Rattus norvegicus: one gene and its partners. The protein of the gene in region 4 purifies or fractionates together with the protein of the main gene of each other region. This does not show direct contact. Links are inferred from orthologs where the notes say so. Each region holds a gene or a part of one and is shown on either strand. Other genes may lie near its edges.

Region 1 (4,193 bases), on a different chromosome or scaffold from region 4:
CTTAAGTCCCTTACACCTTACAAGTACAGGTCTGTTTCCTGCACATCATGTTTTTCAACTTTTGCTGAACTCCCGACCCCATGATGTGCGCCCACCCCTCTGCCTGGCTAAATTCCTGAACACCTGTGGTGACTCCGCCTCTTCAGGTTGTGTTCCTGCGTTTATCTACCCTACTGGCAGCCTTGAACCCCAGTCGCCCACTCTCCTGTCCAGGTGCTACAGGTGCTAACAGCCAATTATCTCCACAGCTGTTTTCCAGCAACCCTAACCCTTTCCCATAAAAGGCACCTCAAACGCCAGTGAGGGGCTGCTCTCTGGAATCTGGACTTGGGTAGGTGCACCTGGCTGGCCAGTTCTAGATACAGCTTGCTTCAATCAGTTAGTCGTGAAATCCGTGCTTTCCCCCCCTCTGATCTAACATAACCATAAATATTATGTCAGTGATCTATTTTCATCTTTCTCTTTGCATGTCCTAGAGGTCTCGTCGCTGCTAGAGTTGCAGGCACATGGTACTCTGTCCCAAGAGGTTGGCAGGGAAAAGCAAAAGCCAAACTTAAAAATGTTTTCCTAATTTATCTTCCCAGCGTCTACCTGATACCCATTAATCTACAAACACAAGCTCAGCATAGCTGTACTGACCCAGGCTTTTTTATTTTCTTGGTATCTCATGGGATAAGTGCCTTGGTCTATGGGTGCGTTGTTGTTTCTCCATTGATTTTTTTTTTTTTCCCCCGGAGCTGAGGACCCAGGGCCTTGCAGCTTGCTAGGCAAGCACTCTACCACTGAGCTAAATCCCCAACCCCTCTCGATTGATTTCTAACGCAGCTGTTAATTTTGCTGTCAGAGGGAAGCAGAAAAGGAATAAATTATCTCATTTAACCTTACTTAAAACCTTTTTTTTTTCTTTTTTTGAGCATGCTTGCTCACGCCTTTAATCCCAGCACTCTGAGACAGGCAGGAGGATCTATGTGAGTTCGAGGCCAGCCTGGTTTACATAGTGAGTTCCCAGACAGGCAGAACGATATAGTGAGACCGTGTCTAAAAAAAAAATAATAATAAAATAAAAAAAAAAAAGTTTAAGAGGAAAGAAGAAAAAACGGCCAGGAGGCCGGGAAAGAGGAGTTCTCTGTCCCTCAGGCCCGCCCCACCGCGCTTGGTGCCTCGCCTCCCCGCCCAGCCGGTTTACCGCCTCACTCCTCGGCCTCCCCCTCCCAACCCTTTGCCTTCCAAACAATTTAAATGTCGCACGGAACCAACCTATCGCAAGCTTCGTTCGAGGGGAAGGGGCGGGAGCTTCCGGAAGTGTTGGCTGAGGTCCCTCCAATCAGCGGCTGGCAGCGGGAAGTTTCAGTTCGGCGGAGGGTCGGTTCGGGGGTTCCTTCTGCGGATCTGTGGAGTTTTCTGTGTAGCCGCATTGTTGTGGATCCAGAAACTGCTTCAGGTAAGTGGGATCAAGAGTTCAAGGTCCTCCGTGGCTACCTGCCAGCTCGAGAGTGGCCTGGGTTACATGAGACTCTGTCTCCAAAAAATTTAAAGATGGCTTAGAAGAGATGGCTCAACAGTTAGGAGCACTTGTTTTTGCACAGTTAGCTTTCCCAGCATCCCACATTAGGCAGCTCACAAACTCCTTGTAGCTCTAGCGTCAAGAGGTGTGACACCTTCCTCTGGACGCCAGTATGCATTTACCCACACACAGAGATAAACATAAACACACATAAACGACAAAAAAAGCCTTTGGGAAAAGAATTGGCATGAAAAACGTAGTAGATTTAATAAAGTATTAGAGACGAGAATCTACCCGACCTGGATGCTAGAACCTCTCAAAAGAGCCCAGAAGTGGCAGTGGATTCTGCTTTTCCTGGCTGTCATTTCTCTTTAACTTCCTGAGAGTATTAAACTGATAATCTTAGAGAAAGGCAAAAGCTTGAAGTGTTTTAAAATACCGGGGAGTAAGGTGAGAGCGCAGACAGGGAACTGACGTGAGAGGTACATTTGACCATCACCATGACACAAGTTAAGAGTCATCAGAGCCTCAGTTGAGGAAATACCTCCATGAGGTCCAGCTGTAAGGGATCGTCTCAAATAGTGGTTAATGAGGGAGGGCCCAGTACATTGTGGATGGGAGCCATCCCTGGGCTGGAGGTCCAGTACCAAGCGCTCTTCTATGGCCTCTGCATCAGCTCCTTCCTCCAAGTTCCGGCCCTGCTTGAGTCCTGACTTCCTCTGATGATGGACAGCAACATACAAGTGTGAGCTGAGTAAACCCTTTCCTCCCCAACTTGCTTTTTGCTCCTGGTGTTTCCTTGCAACAATCGACACCCTATCTAAGACAACCGTATTACCAAGTTCTTCTTAAACTCTTTTTCTGGTAGTTGTGTTTGTCGTTGTTTTGTTTTGGTGGGGAGAGGATTAAAACGAGGTTTTAACGGAGCTCTCGCCATCCTCCTCTGGAGCTGAGACTGACTGGGAGCACGCCCTCTTGTTTTGGTTTTCCCGTTATGGTCTCCCTGTGTTTAATTTAACAGGCTAGCTTTAGCCAAGGGCTAGAATCACAGACGTGTTTTCCTCACAGTGGGGTGATGCTGGAATGAAGGATATAGGTGGGTTTCTTACTGCGTAGACCAATCTGGCTTTGACTCCATTGAGCTTTCTGTGTCAGCTTCCCAGCTGCGCGCTCGCGCGCGCGCTCTCTCTCTCTCTCTCTCTCTCTCTCTCTCTCTCTCTCTCTCTCATGTGTGTGTGGGGGGGAGGGGGGCCAAGGGCAGACATTCATTCTCCTTATCCCTCTCTTCATCTTCCATATTTTCTTGAGACAGAGGTTTTCACTAAAGCTGGAGCTCCTTGGTTGAGTTAGGCTTGCTGGCAGAACCACCCCAGGGAATTTCCTGTGTCTGCCTGGCATTACTGCAGTGCTGTGGCCAGCCCTTACATGAGTATTAGAGCAGGTACTTAATGACTGAGCCAGCTCCCCAGACCATTGTGGCTTTTGAAGTTGAAATGCCAAGGTTCTTTTATACCACCAGGGGGAGCTAAGGGTTTGTTCTGCAATGTAGCTGTTTTCACTTACATGTGCCTCTTGTGTATATTGTATAGTTTTTCTCTGCTTCATTTTAATCTGTTGAGCAGCTCCCTACTCATGACCCGCCAAATAGGCCACGGTATCTCATCTGTGATAACTTTTCTTCTTTCATATGTACTCATATTAGTTCCGGTGTCCATTGTAATGGTTTCATTTCAAGGAAACGCAGAAGTGGGATAGGAGACGGACTGGTCTTGATTTTATTAGTTTACTTATTTTGCTCTTTGAGAGAGTATCTTACTCTTTAGCCCAGGCTGACCTCGAGTTCACACGATTTGCTCGCTGGGGTTTGTTGGTGGTATAGTAATGAGCTGCCGAAACCTGATAATGATAAAATGAAATTCCACTTAAGTTGGTGTTTGTCCCTCCTTTGTGGCAGGATGCCGGTGTCACGGTTTGCTGGTCGGCTTCGGAAAGATTCGAGCATCGAGATGATTAGGACTAGCTTGGCTCACAGGAAGTCGCTGTCTCAGAAGGAAAACAGGCACCGGGTGTATGAGCGAAACAGACACTTTGGTTTGAGGGACGTCAACGTCCCACTGGAAGGTAGAGACCTTGTTAATATACATGAGATGTCTCAAGACCTCACTCTAGAAAATGCCAGCTCCAAAACAAGTAAGTTAAGAATCTTTTCTAAGTTTAAGTACCTTTGAGAGGAAAGGGTCTGGAGAGACGGCTCAGCGGTGAAGAGCCCTGACCGCTCTTCCAGAGGTCCTGAGTTCAAATCCCAGCAACCACATGGTGGCTCACAACCATCTGTAATGGGATCCGATGTCCTCCTCTGGTGTGTCTGAAGACAGTGACAGTGTACTCATATAAATAAAAAATCATGGGGTTGGGGATTTAGCTCAGTGGTAGAGCGCTTGCCTAGGAAGCGCAAGGCCCTGGGTTCGGTCCCCAGCTCCGAAAAAAAGGACCAAAAAAAAAAAAAATCATTAAAAAAATATTTCACCAGTCACCTAGAGAAAAGAGATCATTCTTACAATTTGCCCAAAGTGGTTTGGGCCATAAAGAAAGGAACTGAATAAATGAAAAAGAATAGTCTCAGAAAAAGATGAAAACAATGAAAATAGTATCCTAGACGGCCAGGAGTTAGAGGGGCGGAGCTGAGGAA
Region 2 (4,050 bases), on a different chromosome or scaffold from region 4:
CATTCAGCAATCAGATAGACAATGATTCCATATAGAATTTTTTTCCCACACACCGAGCATTCACTGATTTTTGCCACATACAATGGTTGGGTGTATGCCAAGGACTTTAGAAATATATTCCAGGAAGAGGGTAAAACAACTGCTCTTGTTACTTTAGTTCACACTATCACACATAACCCACGGTACAATAAAAAAAAAAAAACCTCAATATTGATACTAACATTTACTATACAGACACATTTTGCTAATTATTTTAATATTGTCCTTTATAGGAAATCTCTGTTGTCCAGTGAAAGATGAAACACAGGCCTAAAACACATCTTTTTCCTATTTATTTGTTTATTTTTCAGTGCTGGGGATGGACCCAATGCATACACTTGTCACTGAGCTATGCCCCAGAGCAGCCATATTCCATCATCTTTAATCAGTAACATTCTTCAACTTGCATGGCACACAAGATTTTGGAGCAATAGAGACCAATTATCTGGAAGATGATCTTGGGTTCGTCTCTCTCTCTCTCTCTCTCTCTCTCTCTCTCTCTCTCTCTCTCTCTCTCTCTCTCTCTCATTTGATTAATTTTATCCATTTGAAGAACGGACTGCCAGCCATACTGCGTCCTCGGTGCACCTCGGCTATGGTGGTTGTGTTTGTTCTGTTATTGATGTTAATGTGAATCAGCTAAGGCGATGCCTGAAGGTTGTCTCTACTAAGAAATAACTTTCTGCATTTTTTTTTAATTATCGAGGAATCTTTGAAATTTCCTTTTAATTTCAGAGTAATTAGATTTTTTTTTTTTTTAAGTCGTTTCTTTTAGCAAGGAGATCCCTATTACTACTGATAAGCTCCAGGGACATGCCTTTCATTGTATCGCCTTTGTCAATAAAGTTGCATGAATGAGAGCGCTAACCTCTACGGAAGGGTGCGGCTGCCTCTCGGCATGGTCTGCCGGGATTTGTAGTCAGCGGATGCACCGGTCAAATACCATCCAACAGAGTCCCGTAGAGAAAGAGCCAGAAGCCGAGAGGGCGGGTGGAGAGGAGGGTTGCGAACTCCGAGCACTGTGCATCATGGGAATTGTAGTTCATCTTGTGCGTCCAGCCATGGCTGCGCGGGAGGACAGGACTTCCCTTCCCAGTAGACCCCGCAAGCGAGCCCGGCAAAACGCCGCTCCGGCTTGAACAAATCAAATCGAAGGAAAGAAACTGCCGGCTTTCAAAAATCCTCCTCCGCCGCCATAATCGCTGGGGATCGTGGAGCAGGTGGTGTGCACAAGCTAGACGAGCAGCCGCGGCAGCGAGGACAGGCGAGCAGACTGGTCACTGGAACCGCCGTATAGAGGCGCGGTGACCGGCCTGGCCCTCGCGCGGGCTCTCAAGCAGTGACCGACGCGTGCGTTCCGTCCCCCCACGCGGCGGCGCCGCTAGTTTGAGGTGAGTCGGGGCCCTCACGCTCTTCCTGTCACTTGCTTGGCTACCAGGGTCCGGGTGGGGCGAAACGATCGCCTCATGACTACCCCCTTTTGATCTCGCTGAGCCCGGCGTTGGGGGATGGGGCGCTGGGCGGCGCTACCCCTTGTACGTTTGGAGAAACTGAGGCCTAGAGTGGACGGTAGCCACAGCTGTCTCTCCGCGGTGGCGCCTCACGTTGGCACCCATCTCACCTGTAGGCGGTGAGAAGCCGCCTGCCGTGCCGGGTGGCGCCACCCAGTCCATCGCTGCCTACCCAGTCGGCCCACGTCCGCGCGGGAAGCCTGGCATGAGTCACTGCTGACGCTTTGCTGGGTCGATGGATGGCTGTGCACCTGAGGACGTCTCCCACGCGGCCGCCCAGGAGGAGAGGGCGTTTGTGTATTGACCGTTTGTGTCTGATCCCTCGCAAGCTGTCTGCTGACCTTGGATAGCTCAATACCATTTCTCTTTTGCTTTGGTTAGTCATTCTTTAAAGTGAATGGGGGAGGGCTTGTGTGTGTCTGTGTGTCTGGTTCCAAGACCTGAAATTGTGCCTCCCTTCTACATGGAGCCCGACCACCGCCACCCCGTTTTAAATCTCATTGTCTCATCGTAGAACTGTAAGAGGTGGCTGAATTCTAGATAGATTTTCACTCATCTTCGTGTTTGTTGGGTTTCTGGCCGGTGACAGCTGGCTGAAGTGCCTATTTAACCTACCAAAGCTGACCTGGCCTTCAGATTCTCCCAGCATCCCTTAGTCCCTACTTGAAGTTTCCAGCCCAGGGCTTGGGCTGCCTCTTACCCCCTGAAGCTCTTCACTGTATAATCCAGACATTTTGGTCCTCTCCCACTCTCCTCCTCCATCCCTCTGTCTTCACTTCTAACTTCTTGCATATGAGAGCTCATTTTTCCTTTGTCTTCCCCACCTCTCTGTCTCCCTGTCTGCAAGACAACTTCCCTTCCTTGGAACAGGTGAACCCACCAGAGAGCTGCCCCCAATAAACCTGCCTTTATACTTTAATTTGGCTTGAACTGGCTTAGTTGGTCCTAGGAGAATACCTGTCAGTGTTGTCATTTTTTGAGCCCTCAAATATCAGGCCTCTTACTGGGACCCTGTTCCTGTCAAAAGCAGCTTGGTGCACTTTTAGCTGCTAAAAACCTTCCAGGGACCCTCCTGGTCACTCATCCTATACAGTAATTAGGATGTCTTTTGTGACTTGAGTCTTTTCTCCTCTGCTCTAACCGTAGCCCCACTGGCCTTGCAATTCCTCCTCTATCCCATGAGCCTTTGCATATTGTATTCCTTTTGTAGGAATGCTCGTCCCTCAATTTCTGCTTGGCTCAGTCTGTCATATCTTTAGTTTCTTTACAGGTAACACCTTTAATCATCATTCTACTGTAAACAGCTCCCCCTCCCCCCCAAAAAAAGAAACCCATCAAAAACGAAAACCACCTTCTTTGCCCCTTTCCTGGTTGCTTTGTGTGGGGATTTTTTTTTTTTTCTTTGTATTTTTCAGACAGGGTCTTGTGTAGCCCAGGCTGGCCTTAGCGCCTTTAGTAGTTGGAAATGGCGTTGAACTCCTGATCCTCCTGCCTCCCCAAGTACTAGGTCATAGGTGTGCCACAGCACCTGGCCTTTTTTATTATTTTATTTCTTGTGGTGTAAGAGCTTGAAACCAGCCCCTCACAAACCCTAGGCAAGAGTTCTACTGCTGAACTGCCCCTCCCTTGCTTCCACGGGCTTTTTCATTAACATGTAAAATATTTTGGTTTTTGGAATATAAATAAACTTCAAGGAATATGTGCCTTACTGTAGTTCTGGTATTCCAGACAGTGTCCACTACATGGTGCTCGATACAGTGTTTTGCTGAATGCTTTGATATTTTATCCTGAGTTGTAATGTATGCTTATTGGTTAATAAATCAGGGTGTTTGGGGGTAAAATAAGGAAAGTGATGGGCAGCTGGCCAAGCCCAGAGGAAGCCTCGGATAGGCAGGAAGTCCTGAGGCCCAGGGGCATTTGGAGGAATCTGGCTCTGACCTTTGTTCAGCTGAATCACTGTCTGCTTGTGGTCTGGCATTCAGAATGTGCTCAAAGAATGACTTGACAGGTCCGGTGTCTTAGTTGGTGTTCTGGTTGTTGTGAAGAGACACCATGACCAAGCCTATCCTTTTTTGGGTTTTCAAGGAAGGGTTTCTCTGTGTAACAGCTGTTGGTTGCCCTGGAACTTGCTCTGTAGACTATGGTGACCTTGAGATAGATATACATGAAGTATAAAATGTCTTATTGAACAGGTTTAATCCACTATCATCACATTGGGTAGCATTGTGGCATGCATGACACTGGAGCAGTAGCTGGGAGCTATAACCCATTCTAAAGACAGATAGAAGTCAAGTCTACGAGCCTATGGGGGCTGTTCTAATTCAACACCACTCCCTGGTCACCTGCCACATTCTCTTTGGGAACATGGAATTATCATTCTCTCCTCTCTGTGGTAGTGCTGGGGCTTGAACCTGTAGCCCCCTATGCCTGATAGGTCCCTCACTTGGCTGTATGCCAGCTCTACTTTCTCATTCTGCCAATGTTACGCTCCCGGCTGTGG
Region 3 (4,294 bases), on a different chromosome or scaffold from region 4:
GAGACGATTTTGGGGTAACACTCCTAGTCTCCAGCAACCACCTGGTCCCCAGCCAGTTTTTGACCATGCATGGATACAATCCCAGTTCCTCACTGACTCCTCCACTGTGAGATCAGCGAGACCACCTGAAATCTGCCTCCTAATAAATCTGCCTTTGTCTACTTTTAATCTGGTCTAATCTGGCCTGTATCTGCATCACTGAGGGAGAGAAAAAGCCTACAGGCTCAGCCTCAGAGCTTGCCTCTCCTTCTCATACAATTTATCATTTACCAGAAGTGAATGAATGGCCAGTGTGAAATCTGCTCTGTACTTTAAGTACAGGGTGGGCCCAAGCCACAGCTTCAACTGTACTGGACTCCTCTGCATGGAGACAACTGTTAACAAAATGGCTCTCATTTACTACAATGGACCTAACCCAAAGTTCCCTCTCAAATAGGTCATCTGGATCTCTCTTTTAAAGACAGGGTTTCACCATATAGAATTGACTGGTCTATGACTCACTATGTGGACCAGGCTGGCCTCACACTCAGAGATCTACCTAATCTAGGGTTTAGTTCAGGGTTGACAAGCTGAACCATATGCCATCTTGTTTGTTTGACATAGGGCCTTCAATTCACGATCCTCCTGTCTCTGCCTCTCCAATGCTGGGATTATAGGTAAGGCTTACCAAAATTACAAACGACTTCTTTTCTTTTCCTTTCTTTTGTTTGCTTGTTTCAAAACTGTATCTCACTTTGTTAATAAAATGGCTCTCATTTACTACAATGGACCTAACCCAAATCCTATCTCACTTTGTGACCCTGGTGGTTCTAGAACTCACTATGTAGACCAGATTGGCTTCAAAATCACAGAGATCCACCTGTGTCTGCCTTCTTTCCCTAGTGCTAGGATTAAAGGCCTGTGCCACCATGCCCAGCTAGATGCAAATTCTTATTTACTTATGTGTGTGTGTGTGTGTGTGTGTGTGTGTGTCTGCATGCACGCACACACGCATGCAACTGTGCATGAGTGTGCCACCCTGCAGGTGTGGAGTTTAGAGGACAATTTTGCACAGTTAATTCTCTTCTTCCACTATGTATGTGGGTCAAAATACCAGGCTTGGCTATAAAACACCTTTGTCCAATGAGCCACCTCACTGCCTGACTAGGATATGGTTTCTTAACATACCATCTCACCGAGGATGCAGTACTGAGAAGTGAGGCTCTGAGGTACAAGCAAATGAAGACATTTAGCAGGTCAAATAAAATGGGGAGAAGCTCAAGTTGACTAGAAGTACAAGTGTTATTCATTAGCATTAATTCATCGACTGAATAAACAAACTGTTCTTACATTGTGCAGGGCACTGTTCTAGGAGCTAAAGACTGGTGAGCAAAGCAGACAAGTCTTCTGCTGGAAGCTCTCAGGGGACTAGTGGGAAAAAGAGTTTATAAACCAAGTAAGCTAGAAATAAAGAACACGTCAGGGTCTGTGAAGCAAAACCCAAACTACGAAATTGAGGTAGGATAGGCTGCTCAGGTATGATGGTGGTGATCACCTCAGATGCAAATGAGCTTAGAGGCAACAGGTGTAGTTGATAAACAATTAGTCAGGCCAGAGGAGGAAGGGGAGTTTCAGGCTACTCTAAACTATACACTATTTTCCAGGATAGCCTGGGCAGTACAATGAGACTTTGTTTCATAAAAAGGAGGAGGAGGGGGTTGGGGATTTAGCTCAGTGGTAGAGCGCTTGCCTAGCTTGCAAACGCAAGGCCCTGGGTTCGGTCCCCAGCTCCGAAAAAAAAGAAAAGAAAAAAAAAAAAAGGAGGAGGAGGAGAAGGAAGAAGGGAAGGGAGGAGGAGGAGGAGAATCTATCCAGATAGTAAAAACCTGAAAGACTAAGCTTTATTCACTAAGTTGGGGAGCCATTAAGTACTAAACTCAGAAACACTTCCAAGTGCTCTTCACTGCCATTCAGCCAGATAAAACGTATTATCTATGGCCTCATTATTCTGTTTAAAGTATTTAAAAACACTTGTGACAACTGATTAGACATTTAGTGAAAATATCAGTTTGCTGTACAAATCTCTGGCATATACATGTGGGAAATCTCAGCTCCAATATAGCAAGCCTAATTTCACAATGAATCACCACATTTTCTCTGAGTACCTTGCAAACTCGGGATTCAAAGACCTTTTCGGTTTTGAAAAAGACCACCATCACAATAGTGATTACTGTATCGATGATCATAGTAGATCTTGGTGGACAAGCATATTATAAGCTCATGAGAGTGAAGGTACTGGCACGGTTTACTGAACAGTAAGTAGTAGTTTGAAGTAGTTTTTCTTTAACTGCCTAATAACTGGAATAGAAATTAAAATTACATTGATCACATCCTATGAGCCTTCGTTTCCCATCTGGTACCAGGATTTCCATTAAGAGGCCTTTATGAGTTCTTGAGAAAAGCCTCCAAATAAAGTAACAGACATGGCTTTTCTTTCATTTAACAAATTCCAGTCACTGTGAACAAAACCTGCCTACTCGCCCAAAACAGCGTTCCTCGGGGACTCCCTCTCAGTCACTTCGTGCCCTGTTCCCCAAACCCCGAGCCTCTTCTAAGCCGCCCGCAACCGCCCGCCCCGCCAGTCAGCACCGTACCCTCAGGTTAGCCCGGAGGCCCAGTCTTTTGGCTAAATTTTGCAGGTCGCTGTACTTGAAGGAGTCCAGCTCCTCTGCAGAGGGGACGGTCATCACGTTCTGCAATCACGGTGATACCCAGAAAAACAGCCACACGACTCAAAACAGCACCGTTCAAAACTGGCGCCACCCAAGACGTTGACAAGCAGACTTTTATACTCAGTTTAAATGACGAATGCTGTACGCCCATTGGTTGAACTGCCTCGAGGGTGGGGTTTCCTATGAGGGCCAGTAGCGTGACTGGCTGAAGACAGCTACTCCGCAAACCTAATAGGCAGACACTGGGTATTGTGGGCGTGTCTTACAGGAATATTGTCCAATGAAGGCACAGCAAAACAGTTGGGCGGGACCTGGGACGTGCGTGAAACAGGCGCGGGTTTCGAAAAATGGCGACTCTTTCGCCGCGCGGTCTCCCTGTCGTCGAGACCCAGTCCTGTAGTGGCTCTTGTGATACACCTTTTTCTTCCTCCATGGAGTGGGACACTCAGGTGGTGGAAGGGTTCTCCCCTCTCGGGTCTTCCGGGTCTGAGGTGAAGGCGTCACCTGTCGACCTGCGGCTGCCTGCGTGGTTGAAGCCGGAGAGATGTGCGGTGTTTCATTGCGCGAGTTGCTACGCGGTGCTCGGCGACACTGTGCACCTCGCCTGGGACCTATCGAAGTTCCTCGGCGCCCTGGCCTTTTCCAGTGAGTGAGGCGAGGGTTGCATCTGAGGAAGGCAGACCAGAGCCAGATGGGGGATGTGGCTTAGTACCCGAGCGGGGAGTGAGGCCTGGTTTTGTTTTCCAGAGTTGGGCTTCAAACACAGAACCTAGCCTGAGCTAAGCCAGCGCCTTTGGCACAGCCCCCACTTGGTTAACTTTTATGGCCCGATGAATCTGGTGGGAGGTATTTCTTTTTCAAAACCGGTTTGTCTTCCAGGAGTCACAAACAACGTCGTTTTGTTAGAGCCCCTTTTGGTTGGCATAGAAGGTTCTCTCAAATCCAGGTACGTGTGGAGAATTCCTGAGGTGGATCTGTATTGTTCCGGATTTAATGATGGTCAAGAGTACGTAACTGTTGTAAACAAGAAAGAAACTTTGTGTTGTGGCATGTTTACTCTCTCCATACAGTATGTTTGAAAGATAAACTCTTTACCCGTTTCAGTCATATTAACCTGGCTTTAATGAAAGTTAAAGTTGGGGGTAGGTCTTAAGGTCTGTGAGATAACTAGGACTATTTAACTTGGAGCTTATAATGTAAATATATAAACATAATATAAATCACGACAAGACTAATTCTGTAGTAATCTATAGAAAACTCTGCATCTTTGTTTGTTAATGTTTTTCCTATAGCAATAAAGTACTCAGTGAACTCGGGCTTAGAGTGAGGCCAAGCTAAGTTGTAGCCATACCTCCATTCAACTTTGCCAAACTAAAGACACATTCCTATCCTTATAGGAATTCCTTCTCTCAAAGGGGACCAGGAAGGAGTGGCCTGTTTCTATTGAAGTTGTTTGGAGCAAGAGGCAGAAGTACTCAGAATTGATGTAGATGGTCACATGTGTCCAGTACTGTAACCACTACCAGCTGTAATGGACCATTAGGATGTGGACATTGTTGAATTGAGAATACTTTGAATTCATA
Region 4 (4,130 bases):
AAATGAGGGGAAGGGAATGTCAAACAACTATATGCACCAGGTTTTTATTTTGTCTTTTTAATTGAAAACAGTATCTCAAACTGTAGTTCAGGATTCGGGATACTGAGATGGCAGGTGTGTCGCCACACCTCGTCAACGCGCATGTTCTTTATATAATCTATACACATCTTGTAAGTTACGTCGGAACACCAAAGGTTTCTGGTTAACTGTTAAGTGGTCTAAGGACGCGGCTCCGCGAAACTTTGCTAACAGCACAGGGCCCTGCTAGGGGCTCCACGGGCAATTAGGCTCGCCTAAATCCAGCTCTGACCCAGTCTGTAATCCGCTGTGTGACCTTGGACACGCTCCATGCTCTCTCTGGGCTTCAGTTTCCAAATCCGCAGGTTGGAAAGTGAACCACGTGGTCCTCACGGTCCGGCTCAGCACAGTGGCGGGGAGCAAGGGACCTCGCCATTACAGCAGCTTCCTGTGGGCGCGGCGCAGGGCTTTAACGGTCCCCTCCCCGCCCCCTCTGAGGCCCGCGAAATCCTCATTTCTCCTACACCACAGCGAGTGACCGCTCTCCGTAAAGCGCAGTCCCAGCCACTCGCGCGCAGCTCCGCCCCACCCCGGAGGCGTCCCGTCGTGCTCTGCGCTAGACTCTTAAGAGCCCCGGGGCCTCCCGCCTTTACGCGCGGCGACCCCGAACTCCTCAGTTTTCCCGGCGCCCCGTCCTATCAACGTCCAGTATCCCAGCCAATCCGGCGCGCTAGGAGCCTTACCTTCCGCCCACCCTCCTCCCCGCGCACAGCCGGCCTGAGCCCGAAGGCCTTTACCCAGGCCAACCCAATCAGCGGCGCGCTCCTACCTACCCCACCCCAGGACCCCTCCCCTCGGCCAATAAGCACTCCCTATTCTGCTGCCCGCCCAGCCAACCGGGCCTTGAAGCACGTAGGCCAATGGGCGCGCGGCGGCTCTTCAACGCTAGGCTCCTGGCCAATCGGAGACTCCGCGTGGCTCCAGCAGTAGCCAATCGCTGTGCAGCGCGGTGCCGCCGCGGAGAGGTCCGGCAGGAATATCCCTCCGCCTCCCTCCCTCAATCTCTCTCCCTCCCTGCGATCCGCCTCTCACTTACAGCCGCCCTTCCTTTCTCCCTCCGCCGCCTGAGCACCAGCCGCGCTCTGAGCTGCCCCCGGGGTCCCTCCCCCGCCACCAGAGGAGCAGCTGCTGCCGCCTAGCACATTAGGAGGGCGGAAGGAAGGAGAGCAGGGAGGAAGGGGAGCCGGAGCGCCTGCCCAGAGGCGGCCGGTGAATGGGCTTGTGGTGACCCCCACCCCCCACCCCACCCTCCCTTCCCACCCGACCCCCAACCCCCATCCCCAGTTGGAGCCGCCGCCCGAGAGGCCGGGCCGTCGTCTTGGGAGGAGTCCCCGCCGCCGTCACCTCCGCCATGGAGCTCATAACCATCCTCGAGAAGACCGTGTCTCCGGGTAGGACTCGGGGCCGGGGGTCGGGCTGAGGTGACTGGGGTGGGGGAGGGGGTGGCCCCTCTGACCCCGCTGCCTCTCCCCCATTTCTCCTGGCAGATCGGCTGGAGCTGGAAGCGGCGCAGAAGTTCCTTGAGCGTGCGGCTGTGGAGAATCTGGTGCGTGCTTCCCCGCCGCGCCCCATCCCGCCGCGTCCCCATCCCTGCGTGCGGGCCTTCCCGCCCTCCTGGAGGCCCAGGCCTGAGGAACCCACCCCGCCCCATCTCGTCCCCCTTCCCCCCCGCCCGGCCCAACCTAACCCCGCCATCGGGAAGCCGGTGGGTGTGTCCCGCCCCGGGCCCTGCGTCTAGCCAATGGCGAGACGCGCCGGGGTGATCGCTGTCCAATCGTCACGCGACCTGAGGGCGGCGGTGCAGCGGGAGGGAGAAAGAGGGAGGGAAGGGAAGTTAGGTTGCATGGCGCTGCGTGTTCAGCAAGGGTGGGGGTTGGGGAGCCGGGCCTAGGGGCCATGTGGAAGCTCTGCGCCCTGCCGCCTGTCTTGTACTGGCTGCGGCCGGCTTCTCCTTCCTGTCCCATGGCTCTGTTGCTGTCTGCAACTACTTCCTAGAGCCCTATCCTTTCCTAGCTCCCTTGGTCTGTGCTCATGGCCACGCCTGGCACCCGACCACCTCTGAACCCATTGCCTCAGTTTTTTCCCTTTCTTGCCCTATTATCCCATTCCTGGCCTCAGTGTGCACGTGTGTTCTGTGTGAACTTGGATTATTCAGAGACCTCATCTATAGGGATCTCAGATTGAGTCTTATTTCTGAGATTGAGCCTATTCCCTGATGAAATCAGTGGATGAAATATAAAACCCTGATTTTATAATTTTGGATTTAAGAAGTACATTTTAAAAAAAGACTGACCTTTGTATAGGAAAATATACGATTATTGAAGCAATCTATTGCCAGAATGTTTCTCCCTTCCTTTGGGGGGAAGGGGAAGTGGGGGAGGGGAAAGGAGGGAAGGGTGGGTGGTATTAAAAGTCTCTTTAAGGTAGTAAGTTTTAAAAAGTCAAAAGGACATTGTAACCAAATGTAGTCCTTTGTGATGCTTGGCAAAATAGTAACATGCATAAAGCCACAAATCCTATTTTATTATGTACGGACCACTTTTCTTTTTGAAAGAGTAGTAAGTGACTTTGTATTGACGTTTTTATGTTTAACTCACAACCTTTCAAGCAGTTCTTTGTTGGTGTGGACTGAGAATTCTGCTCATAGTATATTCTTGGTTTTGCTTTGCTAGTGTGCTAGAAGCCCTTTTTCCTGCACCTAACACTCAGTGTCACAGAGTAAAACTTGGAGAATTATCTTCTGAGCTTGTAGAGTTTGCTTGCATTGAGAATTATCTCCTGTGTTTGGTTTGCTAACACTAAAAAAATGTGTCTACTTTGGGCCTTTATAACTTTCCTGATTGGGCAGATTTCCCCACCCAACTGCCCCACCCTTTGTGCGTGTTCCTCTGTATGTATGCTCTGGAAGAGGAAGAAATGTGTTACAAGTTTTAGATGAGTGGCTTTTGGACCTGTATTTCAAAACATAGGTTTTGGGAGGATTCATTGTTAGTTGACAGTAGGTCCAAAACAGGATAGGCTCCTGGTATGTCCTGCTACTAAACAAAAACGACTTTTCTCGACAACTCATGTGTCATTCACATTGTCGTGTTCTTTCAATTTCTGAATACTAGTTAACACTTTGACTTACAAATCCCTTTTGGTGAACATTCAGAGCTAAAACCCAGAGGACTAGATCTTATATCTGTGTTATACTTTCATGTATGTGCGTATGTGTTAGAAAAGGTGACTTATATGAGATCAGAGGGCTGTCCTGATTATTATTTTTGGGCAAGACCTTTTTCTAAAGTATACTTTTAAGTATTCTTTTCATTCAGCAGTTTTGCAGCATTGGGCTTTCTTGTACCTGCTTGAAGAAACTTGTCACTAGGATAACACATTACCAGGTGTCAATTTGGCTTTAATTCTGCGGAGCTATTTATAAGACTTGGGCTCAAAACATGTTCTTGATAGGAAGAATCTGTCTCTTCACATAGCAGGTGAGGTTTTATAGGACTTGTCCTTGAAGTGGCTTATGTTGCCTAGTCAGGCCTTAACTTTTTTTTGTTGAACCGGAGGAAACCTTTTCAGTGTTGAGTTTATGCAGGTACCAATTCAAAAAGAGATTTTCCAGTTTTCCGAGATACTTTGATCTAAATTTTGTGTTTCTTCTCTAGGGCTTTGCAAGCAAGTGGAAATTGCTGATAGACTTATAAATGTGTCTTCTCCACAGCCCACGTTCCTTGTGGAACTGTCCAGAGTGCTGGCAAATCCCGGAAACAGTCAGGTTGCCAGAGTTGCAGCTGGTCTACAAATTAAGAACTCTTTGACATCGAAGGATCCAGATATCAAGGCACAGTACCAGCAGAGGTGGCTTGCTATTGATGCTAATGCTCGGCGGGAAGTCAAGAACTATGTAAGTGACTGTCAAATCCTTGATATCATATGGTTTAAGGGAAGACGCTGGTCATTTGCATGTGATAGCCTTCTGAGACCCAAACGTTACCTGGGTGTAAGAATGTATTTTCACTAACGTCTCTGTGGCTGTAGGTGTCTGGTGCAGTGGGTTGGGC

The links. Proteins that work in one complex are often made in the same cells at the same time.
Region 1: the proteins of Kpnb1 (region 4) and Dlgap5 purify together in Homo sapiens (affinity purification with mass spectrometry; 4 studies listed by BioGRID and IntAct, with this or other methods). This does not show direct contact. The link is inferred for Rattus norvegicus from reciprocal best matches to the Homo sapiens genes KPNB1 and DLGAP5.
Region 2: the proteins of Kpnb1 (region 4) and Rangap1 purify together in Homo sapiens (affinity purification with mass spectrometry; 3 studies listed by BioGRID and IntAct, with this or other methods). This does not show direct contact. The link is inferred for Rattus norvegicus from reciprocal best matches to the Homo sapiens genes KPNB1 and RANGAP1.
Region 3: the proteins of Kpnb1 (region 4) and Nusap1 purify together in Homo sapiens (affinity purification with mass spectrometry; 3 studies listed by BioGRID and IntAct, counting the BioPlex papers as one, with this or other methods). This does not show direct contact. The link is inferred for Rattus norvegicus from reciprocal best matches to the Homo sapiens genes KPNB1 and NUSAP1.

The regions. Positions count from the first base shown.
Region 1 is NC_086033.1:23,141,377-23,145,569, reverse strand, and holds the start of Dlgap5 (disks large-associated protein 5), read left to right. Parts: upstream 1-1,393; 5' UTR 1,394-1,441; intron 1,442-3,458; 5' UTR 3,459-3,459; coding exon 3,460-3,694; intron 3,695-4,193. UniProt on the Homo sapiens protein: Potential cell cycle regulator that may play a role in carcinogenesis of cancer cells. Mitotic phosphoprotein regulated by the ubiquitin-proteasome pathway.
Region 2 is NC_086025.1:115,127,765-115,131,814, reverse strand, and holds the start of Rangap1 (ran GTPase-activating protein 1), read left to right. Parts: upstream 1-1,250; 5' UTR 1,251-1,430; intron 1,431-1,499; exon of another isoform or gene 1,500-1,926; intron 1,927-4,050. UniProt on the Homo sapiens protein: GTPase activator for RAN. Converts cytoplasmic GTP-bound RAN to GDP-bound RAN, which is essential for RAN-mediated nuclear import and export. Mediates dissociation of cargo from nuclear export complexes containing XPO1, RAN and RANBP2 after nuclear export.
Region 3 is NC_086021.1:127,055,801-127,060,094, reverse strand, and holds the start of Nusap1 (nucleolar and spindle-associated protein 1), read right to left. Parts: upstream 2,801-4,294; 5' UTR 2,727-2,800; coding exon 2,634-2,726; intron 1-2,633. Other genes in the region: Oip5 (protein Mis18-beta), read left to right, coding at 3,059-3,356, 3,591-3,657. UniProt on the Homo sapiens protein: Microtubule-associated protein with the capacity to bundle and stabilize microtubules. May associate with chromosomes and promote the organization of mitotic spindle microtubules around them.
Region 4 is NC_086028.1:82,668,057-82,672,186, reverse strand, and holds the start of Kpnb1 (importin subunit beta-1), read left to right. Parts: upstream 1-1,330; 5' UTR 1,331-1,429; coding exon 1,430-1,469; intron 1,470-1,565; coding exon 1,566-1,624; intron 1,625-3,790; coding exon 3,791-3,973; intron 3,974-4,130.